2 linked regions of the Cricetulus griseus genome follow. The protein of the gene in region 1 purifies or fractionates together with the protein of each later gene. This does not show direct contact. Links are inferred from orthologs where the notes say so. Each region holds a gene or a part of one and is shown on either strand. Other genes may lie near its edges.

What was found.
Region 2: the proteins of Rassf8 (region 1) and Pard3 purify together in Homo sapiens (affinity purification with mass spectrometry; 4 studies listed by BioGRID and IntAct, counting the BioPlex papers as one, with this or other methods). This does not show direct contact. The link is inferred for Cricetulus griseus from reciprocal best matches to the Homo sapiens genes RASSF8 and PARD3.

Annotation. Positions count from the first base shown.
Region 1 is NC_048601.1:3,906,211-3,910,598, reverse strand, and holds the start of Rassf8 (ras association domain-containing protein 8), read left to right. Parts: upstream 1-1,318; 5' UTR 1,319-1,466; intron 1,467-4,388.
Region 2 is NC_048596.1:204,253,578-204,257,388, forward strand, and holds part of Pard3 (partitioning defective 3 homolog), read left to right. Parts: intron 1-338; coding exon 339-490; intron 491-1,502; coding exon 1,503-1,547; intron 1,548-3,811. UniProt on the Homo sapiens protein: Adapter protein involved in asymmetrical cell division and cell polarization processes. Seems to play a central role in the formation of epithelial tight junctions. Targets the phosphatase PTEN to cell junctions.

The sequences.
Region 1 (4,388 bases):
GGAGAAGGCAGGGTTTCTTTCTCTTTTTTGGACAGTTCTCACTCTGTAGCTCAGGCTGGCCTTGAACTTCTGGAAATATGCCCACCCTACTCTCCAACAGGCTCGGCTTTTTCTTTTCCAGTATCTGACCCACTCTTCTGGGGTTGCTAAGGACAGATGCTGGGCCGCAGAGGAAAAGCAATTCGAACGCGCCCTTGGAGAATGGGTTCTTTTCTCATTGGGGCCCCGTAGCCCGTAGCCTAGGCTGGCCTGGAACCTGTGACCGTCCCTTGCCTGGGCCTTTCCAGTGGGCCCCGCCCTCCCTACACCTCTGTGACATTGGATGTTTCCGCGGGCTGTCAGGGAGGACAGACACCCCATCACAGCTGCTCCCCAGGGAGGGCCGCTCCAGCCAGTCCCGGGAGAGCGCCGGCCGTTCCTTCCGCCTCTCCTGTCCCCAGGCCCAGCGGATCCCTCCCGCGGGCGGCCCCGAAGCCAGAAGCCAGCGAGGGACCGCAGGCAAGGCTACCTCAGAAGGCTCAGGCCCTCAGGCCCCAGCGCCTCCCACAATGCCTCGCTGCGCAGTCCCCTACGGTGTCCGCGGGCGGGGGAGGCGGCTGTAACCCGAGCGGGTGAGGGGCTAACCCTGCTGCTGGCCCGCAGCCCGCGACCCAGAGAAGGGGCGGGGACACCGGCCCTCGGCCCGCCTCCCCGGCCCTCGGCCCGCCCTTCCTGGTCCTCGGCCCCGCCTCCCAGGCCTTTGTCCCGCCCCCAGATCTTCCACCACGCCTCCCAGATCGTCTGCCCCGCCCCTAGACCCTCCGTTCCGTCTCCCTGACCTCTCGCCCCGCCTCCCAGGCCCTCCGCCCCGCCCCTAGACCCTCCGTCCCGCCTCCCAGGCCCTCCGCCCGCCCCTAGACCCTCCGCCCCGCTTCCCAGGCCCCCCGCCTCGCCTCCCAGGCCCCCCCGCCCTAGAACCTCCGTTCCGCCTTCCAGGCCCTCCGCCCCGCCCCTAGACCCTCCGGCCCCGCCTCCCTGGCCATCGGCCCCGCCTCCAGGCCCTCCGCCCCGCCCCCAGGCCCTCCGCCCCGCCTCCTAGGCCTCGCCCCGCCCCTAGGCCCTCGGCCTGCCCTCCGGGCCCGGAGCGGCCTCCCCGGCCCGTGCTCGCCGCCCTCATCCCGCCCCTCTGCGGGGCTCGGCGGGCCCCCGTGGTCCCGCCCTCCCTTCCTCCTCTGCGCCGCTGTGCACCGCCTCCCGCCCCGGCCAGGCCGGCGTGCGCCCTCCCTCGCGTCTCCTCCGCCCGCCGGCTCAGCCCTCCGCGCGCGCCGCCCTGCGGCCCGGGCCTCCTCAGCCCCGGCCCCGCCGCTCGCTCTCCGCCGCCGGGTCGCCGCGGGGCCGCCTGGGCCGCCGCCGCCGCTCAGCCAGGGCCGGGCCGGGCCTCCGCCGCGGGCCGTGCACCCGGGCGGCGGGACGGGCTGCGACGCGCAGTAAGTACAACTTTCCCGGCCCGCGCCCCCGCGGCCCCGCTGTCACCCCGCGCCCGCGCCCCCAAGTTGGCGCTGCCCGCCGGGGTCGCCTCTCCCCGGTGTCCTTGGCGAGCGAGTTTAGAGGCCACTTTTGCGGGGAAGGGAAATGCATGGCCGGCCCTTGGCCGTCCCCTGAGCTCTCAGACGGGAATCGGATGCTCGCCCGGAGGGAGAGCCTTCCCTCTGGAAGGGGAAAGTGGCGGTTGGCAGGCTTCTGCATTTTGTCCGAACCGGGGCCGCCTGGCCTCGTCGCGCAGCCTCCCTCCCTCCGTCCCGGGTGGCCAGCCCCTCCGGGGAACCGAGCCGCCCGCCGGGAGGGGGCTTGCAAAGTTCGCCGCGTCCTGTACCCCGCAAACTCGCCCAGGGCCCGGCCCGGGGAGGCTCAACTTGAGGGGTCGTGGGCTTGGCGTGCGAGGCCGCTGCGGGCGGCCCGGCGGTGGGCGGCGGAGACCGGCTTGCGGCTGGGGTTGCGTCGTCTCTGCACCGCCGAGCCGCCCGCCCGCCCGCCCCGGGTTGCCGGACCACTACTTGGGACATAATTGCAGGTCAGCGATGGTCCTAATCTTCGGAGGTCTAGGAGGAAATATGCGGGGCGCAACACACTTGAGCGTGTGAGGTCAGCCCTGCCAACACATCAAAGCCTGGCGTGAAAAGAAAAAAAAAAAAAAACTCTCCAGCCCGCTGACAGCAGGGACGAACACTTAGGGACTTACCGTAGATTGGGGCGCAGAGATTTTTCATGACATCTGTTTTGTTCCAGGGAAGCATTTAAAACCTAAGAGACCTCTGCTCAGTTGTAGGCTGTATGTGTGTGTGTAGGTGTGTGTGAGGGGGTGTTAAGGTAGTTTTTCTTTTTTAGAAGTCTTTCATCTGTGGTTGCCAGGGGTTTGGATCGTGCTATGGAGGCTAAGAACCGGCAGGTTTCCTGGTGTGTGCTTTTTGTTTTTTGTTTTTTTTAAACCTATCCTTTGCTTGAGGCTGTCCCTAATGTCTGTCAGTTCGCTGCAGGGGGAGGTGCTGGTGAACACAGGAATCAGGGCTCCGGACAAAACTGCACGCTCAGTTTGGGAAGTGGTTTATGCTATATCTTTTTTAGTGGTCATATGAGTGGTTTTTCTGATCTTACTTAAATCCACGGGGAACTTCCCCCAAACCTCAAAGTTACACACGACCGGTACTCCATTTAAGAAGACTGGATGCAGTTTGATAATTCTTCTACCTGTGGGTCTGAAGGGTCAGAGGCAACACAGCGTAATTTGCAATGAAGGTGATTAAATCTTTTCAACAATCAGTCATTTGCCCCTCCCCCTAAGCGTTTTTAGATGGTACTTTCCGAACTAGATTCAATTGGCCATAATGGATGAGATCTTTGTAGGTGATCAAGCCCCTATTCTGGGCTTCTGGTGCTTGGGGGGACGGTAGAGAGTCCCTGTAGGGAGCCAAGCCATGGGACTGTGCACCTAGGAAAGGTTTTCAGTTAGTGTCAGTGTCCTGGAGAGAAACACAGTTACAGAGGTGTCCAAGTCATTTCAGTGGTCACAGTTCCCAGATTGTGCAGGTTTTAGAGATATTTGGAAATTGCAGATTTAAAATCCTATAGGATCGTGGTGTCATTTTTCTTTGCATCTTCTTTGCCTTTTCAATTTTTTTTTTTTTAAGCTTGTGACTCTTAAATTTGGAATCCTTGGTGCTTGGTTTTCATGGCCCTTTGTATTCAGAGGGGTGTATTAGTGCTTGATCTGAATGCCTGGCATTCTGAGAAATGATTAATTCTTCAGAGTATCCTGTTTCTTACTGAGTCTTTTGCTGTTGTATATAATAACTTGGGAGTAAAATTGTTGTTTACTGCAGGATATCATTGTTCTTTTTCCTTGTAGTTAATTTTTGGCAGATGGTTTTGTCAATTTATAAAACGTTGAGAAGGAGCTGGGCGTTGGTGGCGCACGCCTTTAATTCCAGCACTTGAGAGACAGAGGCAGGCGGATCTCTGTGAGTTCGAGGCCAGCCTGGTCTCCAGAGCGAGTGCCAAGATAGGCTCCAAAGCTACACAGAGAAACCCTGTCTCGAAAAACCAAAAAAACAAAAAAACAAAAAAACAAAAAACCAAAACAAAAAAACATTGAGGAGACCCAGATAACTTGCAAGTATTCAAAACTTGGGAGATTTCCTTCTAGGTGGAGGTGAGGTGGGGCTGCCTCATGGAGATGAAACATTAGGAAATGTAAATAATGAGCCAGCTACTCACTTTCCTTGGAGGTTACTTTGTTCCAGTCCTAAGTAGGTTTCGGAATTCCGGAATTCCCGTTCCCTAGTGTTCTGTGGACTGGAAGAGATACCTTTTGTAGCAGCTAGCCAGGCTTGTCAGGGATTTAAGGATGTGCCCTGCTCCTCTGGTTCTGTGATCTGTATTCACAGCCTTTAAAACGCGTTACCACCGCTAACAGGAAAGCTACGAGCAGAGCACCTCCCAAGTGCCGGGCACATCTCTGTCAACAGTGGCAGCATCTCCCATGTCCCCAGAGCTTACTTGGTGGCCGTCCATTGGTCCATTGTAGTGTTTAAACACAACCCCCTACCCTCCTACCCCCACTTCCTTCCTTGAGGGCAGTAACAGTGCCCTCTCTACTCTCCGGTCCTGGTGCACATAGGAAGGAGTGTTAGTAAATGGTAAATGCCTGTTGGTGTAGCGGCGGTGTCTCATTTATGCTACTCCCTATGTAGACCAGGCTAGCCTGGAACTCACAAAGGTCCTCCTGCCTCTGCTGAGTGCTGGCACCACCACACCCAGCACATTTATGTTTTAATAGTCCTCATCTCTGTTATATTTATGTTTTGTGACAGAAAAGCCAAACCAGCCCTACTGTGTTCCATTTTTGTGAATGG
Region 2 (3,811 bases), on another chromosome or scaffold:
AAATATTTAGCCTTCCCAATGTCTGACAATTAGCAGACTCATTTTAAATAATAACAGAAATAATGATATATTAATGAACACATTAAAGAAACAGGGCAGAAAGAAATAGAGAAGAAAGTTTATACCCACAGAGTTACTTCAAGGTTAAATCAATTTTTATTTTTTCTCTTACTTTCCATTTAGCCTCCTTTTAAAAGTGAGGTATATTATACATCTAACTTAAATATTTAAATAATATGAATCTATCCATGCACTAACGAATATATAGGATCTTCATTAAAATGAATGTCTCTACTTTTTAGTAAATACTTTCATGTTTTTCTTTCTCTTCACACCAGCTCTTTGAGTCCTGATGCTGATCCGGTACTTGCTTTTCAACGAGAAGGATTTGGACGCCAGAGTATGTCAGAAAAACGCACAAAGCAATTTTCAGATGCCAGTCAATTGGATTTCGTTAAAACACGAAAATCAAAAAGCATGGATTTAGGTAGTGAGTACAATCTCCATGAATCTTTATCTAAATAAGGCGTGGATGCTGCAGGATGAAACTGATGGTCCCAAACACATATCTGCTTATTTTTACCAATAGAGAAAATAAATTTAAAATGTGGCAATTTGTCAAAAAAAAATAAAATAGTTTTCCACATAGCATGTTGACAATATAAGCAGTATGTTGACGTGTACTTTTATATGAGAAAGGAAGCAAACCCATGCTGTATCCTTGTTGCTTCATTTCAAAATGAAATGTTTTAATCTTTTGTCCATTTGAGGAGCAATTTCCTTTGAGATTCCATTTGGTGGGATTTTTAAGTAGAAAACATTTTGGAGAGAAACCATTATCTCAATCCATGTCTAGTGCTTCGTTGCCAGTGCCCTCCTTGATTGCTCTTCTTGAGGTGCTAATTGATGGAACTTCTTGTGCTTTAACAATTATGGCCTTGAATCAAATTAATAACTTGAGAGATTATATTCTAGAACAAATTTGGGAACAAATGAGAGAAGGAAAATAGCCATAGTTGTTCAGCCAGACACCAATCAGGTAGTCTCTCTCTTTAAATCAAATCTGCCCCCCAAAATAATTCAATTAATACAGGTATAAACTAAATTTTTTTTTAAAAAAACTATTATTAATCAACCATGACTTATGCTGTTTTCTGGTGGCTGTTTGAACCTGAAGACTAAAAGCATTAATTTGTCATAAAAATATATATATATATATATAAAATTAGACAGTGCACTGCCTTGGCTAATGATGATACACTAACATACAAATAACACATGACTGTGAGATGAAATGACTGGCATACTGCATGAAGATACTGCTTATTTTTCTCTTATTTTTGATTATGAATGTTTGCTTGTTGTTTCATTCCCCCCCTTTTTTTTTTGCATGGAATATTGCCTAAGAATTGTGCTCTAACGGTCAAGGCTGGGGGAGGGTTAAAGCATGTCGGGCTTTGGGGACTAACTGGGCTAACCATTATACATTTACCTTTTAACAGTAGCTGACGAGACTAAACTCAATACAGTGGATGACCAGAGAGCAGGTAAGAATGGACAGTTAGACTGTTGCCATAGAAACTATGGTTCAAGGAGCTTATCATGATTATAGAGCTGCCAGTCTTGTTGCATGTAAGCACCAGTATTCCAGTCTCACTCAGATGCTTTCGTTATGGGAAATCGAATTGCAGGGGAAAATATGTTTTTTTTCTGTTATGAGAATTTTATCGGCAATGTGGGTAACATTGGAATGGAATGGACTACCTTTTACCATGTTAAAAAACAACCTTAGAGTTTTTTTGTTTTGTTTTGTTTTGTTTTAGTCTTACTTGCATAGGAATGTTTTTGTGATGATTTTTTTTTATATATATATAAACCAAAATCCAAAGGACACATCTCCTGTTTGGACTCTTACATTCATTAGTCATTATGTTATTTATGTCTTAGTATTTGGAAAGCAGCATCACCTATATCTGTGGTTCTCAATCTATGGGTTGTACCCCTTCAGGGCTCAAACAGCCCTTTCACAAGGTTTGTATATCAGCTATCCTGCATATCAGATATTTATATTATGATTCATAACAGTAGCAAGATTACAGTTATGAAATAGCAAAGAAGTAATGTCGCGGTTGAGGTCACTGCACCATCAGGAACTATATTAGAGGGTCGCAGCATTCGGAAGGTTGAGATCCACGGTCCTCTATGAACACTTTTCACTAAATGACAGCATTTGGCCTTGCTGCTACTGATGCTCGTGTATTTCGTCTGCTATCTCCTGTGTGTTTTTTAAATGCAGAAATTACCTCATTGTTAACCCTGACATTAGTTTGAACTATATGATACATATGGCTTCATTAACTTTTGGAATCTGTTCTAAATTTACTGCTTAATCATTTCATAGAAATAATGGGCTACATGGACTAGCTTTAGCAGCATAGTCTATCTTATTTTTCATATTACTACATGAAAATAATCAGCAGAGTCTGTCAGTGTAATTAAGCAGTGTGCTGTGTGCAGTTGAGCATGCATGATTTATTAGTGTATTTTGGAATCTTGTTTTAATTATTCTAGATCCAGGATAATGTAATTATATCACTTAGCACGTATTAGCTTTAATTTGCCTTTTTAACCTGCTGTAGTAATTAGTTTCAGCCTGTGTGTTCTACATACATGCATAAAGATTATTGTGGATGTACTTGGCGTTACCATATTCTATGAAGTAAATGATATTTTATAAAATTGCATTCAATAAATTATAAGATTGGCTGTGTTTGGAGCAATTAACTATAGCCTCAGATCTTGCTAAGTAGCTATTTTTCTGGTGAAACATAAAATTCATTGAAATTCTGAAGCAGAACTATAGAACAAGTCCTGGTAGTCTACATGTGTACAGTAGCACTCAGTGTTTAGACTTCAGTAGTTTAAAGAAGTAGGCCCTACACTAGGCAGATCTGTGCACCTTCACAGTGTGATGCTGTCTAGTTACGTGAAAATGGGGAGTGCATAATTTTAACAACCAAAAGCTACAATGAGGAAAACAAAATTTACTGTGAGTAAAAAATAACTCACAGACTTTAACTGAAAGTGTTATGTAACTCTCATGATGGTGACTGAGATTTATCATCTATTCAAACCATGTTTTGTGGTTCACCTGTTAGGTCTTAGAGGAGAAGGGCATTTTCTGGTTTTGAGTGTCCACAAATGTCCTATGCCTGCAATTAAATTGGAAAATTTTAATCCCCATTGATACATTCTGTAAACTGTATTCTCCCCGCCCAGTATTAGCCAATGGACAGTTTTCAGTTGAATTGTTTCCTGTTCCTCACTTAAGAGTTGCTTGAATTCTTTGATAGGTTAGCCCACTGCTTTGGACAAGGCATGCAGACATTTTGGTATAGATACATGTCTCACTGTAAGCCAAGTGTTATGAAAACAGAACTCTTTCTTCTTGCCTCTCAAGGAAAATACCGTCATTGTCACATTTTTTTTTTTTTTTTAAAGCACAAGGATATTTATTAGCAGGCAGGAATCAGGTGCACACCTTTAATCTCAGTACTCAGGAGGCAGAGGCAGGTGGATCTCCTTGGTTATAGCTACTGATTTCTGAGTTCTGGCCAAGGCTGCACAATGAGACCCCGCCCCCCCCCCCAAAAATAGGTCTAGGGCTGGGGTGTGGCACCAGAGTGCTCATCTTATATGTGGTAGGCATCAAACCAACAAAACTGCTCTGGGGAAGATAATTCTATGGATAATTTCCTTGACTTTGACTCATGGATTTAGAGATCTTGCATTCTATGTTTTTGCCATGAAT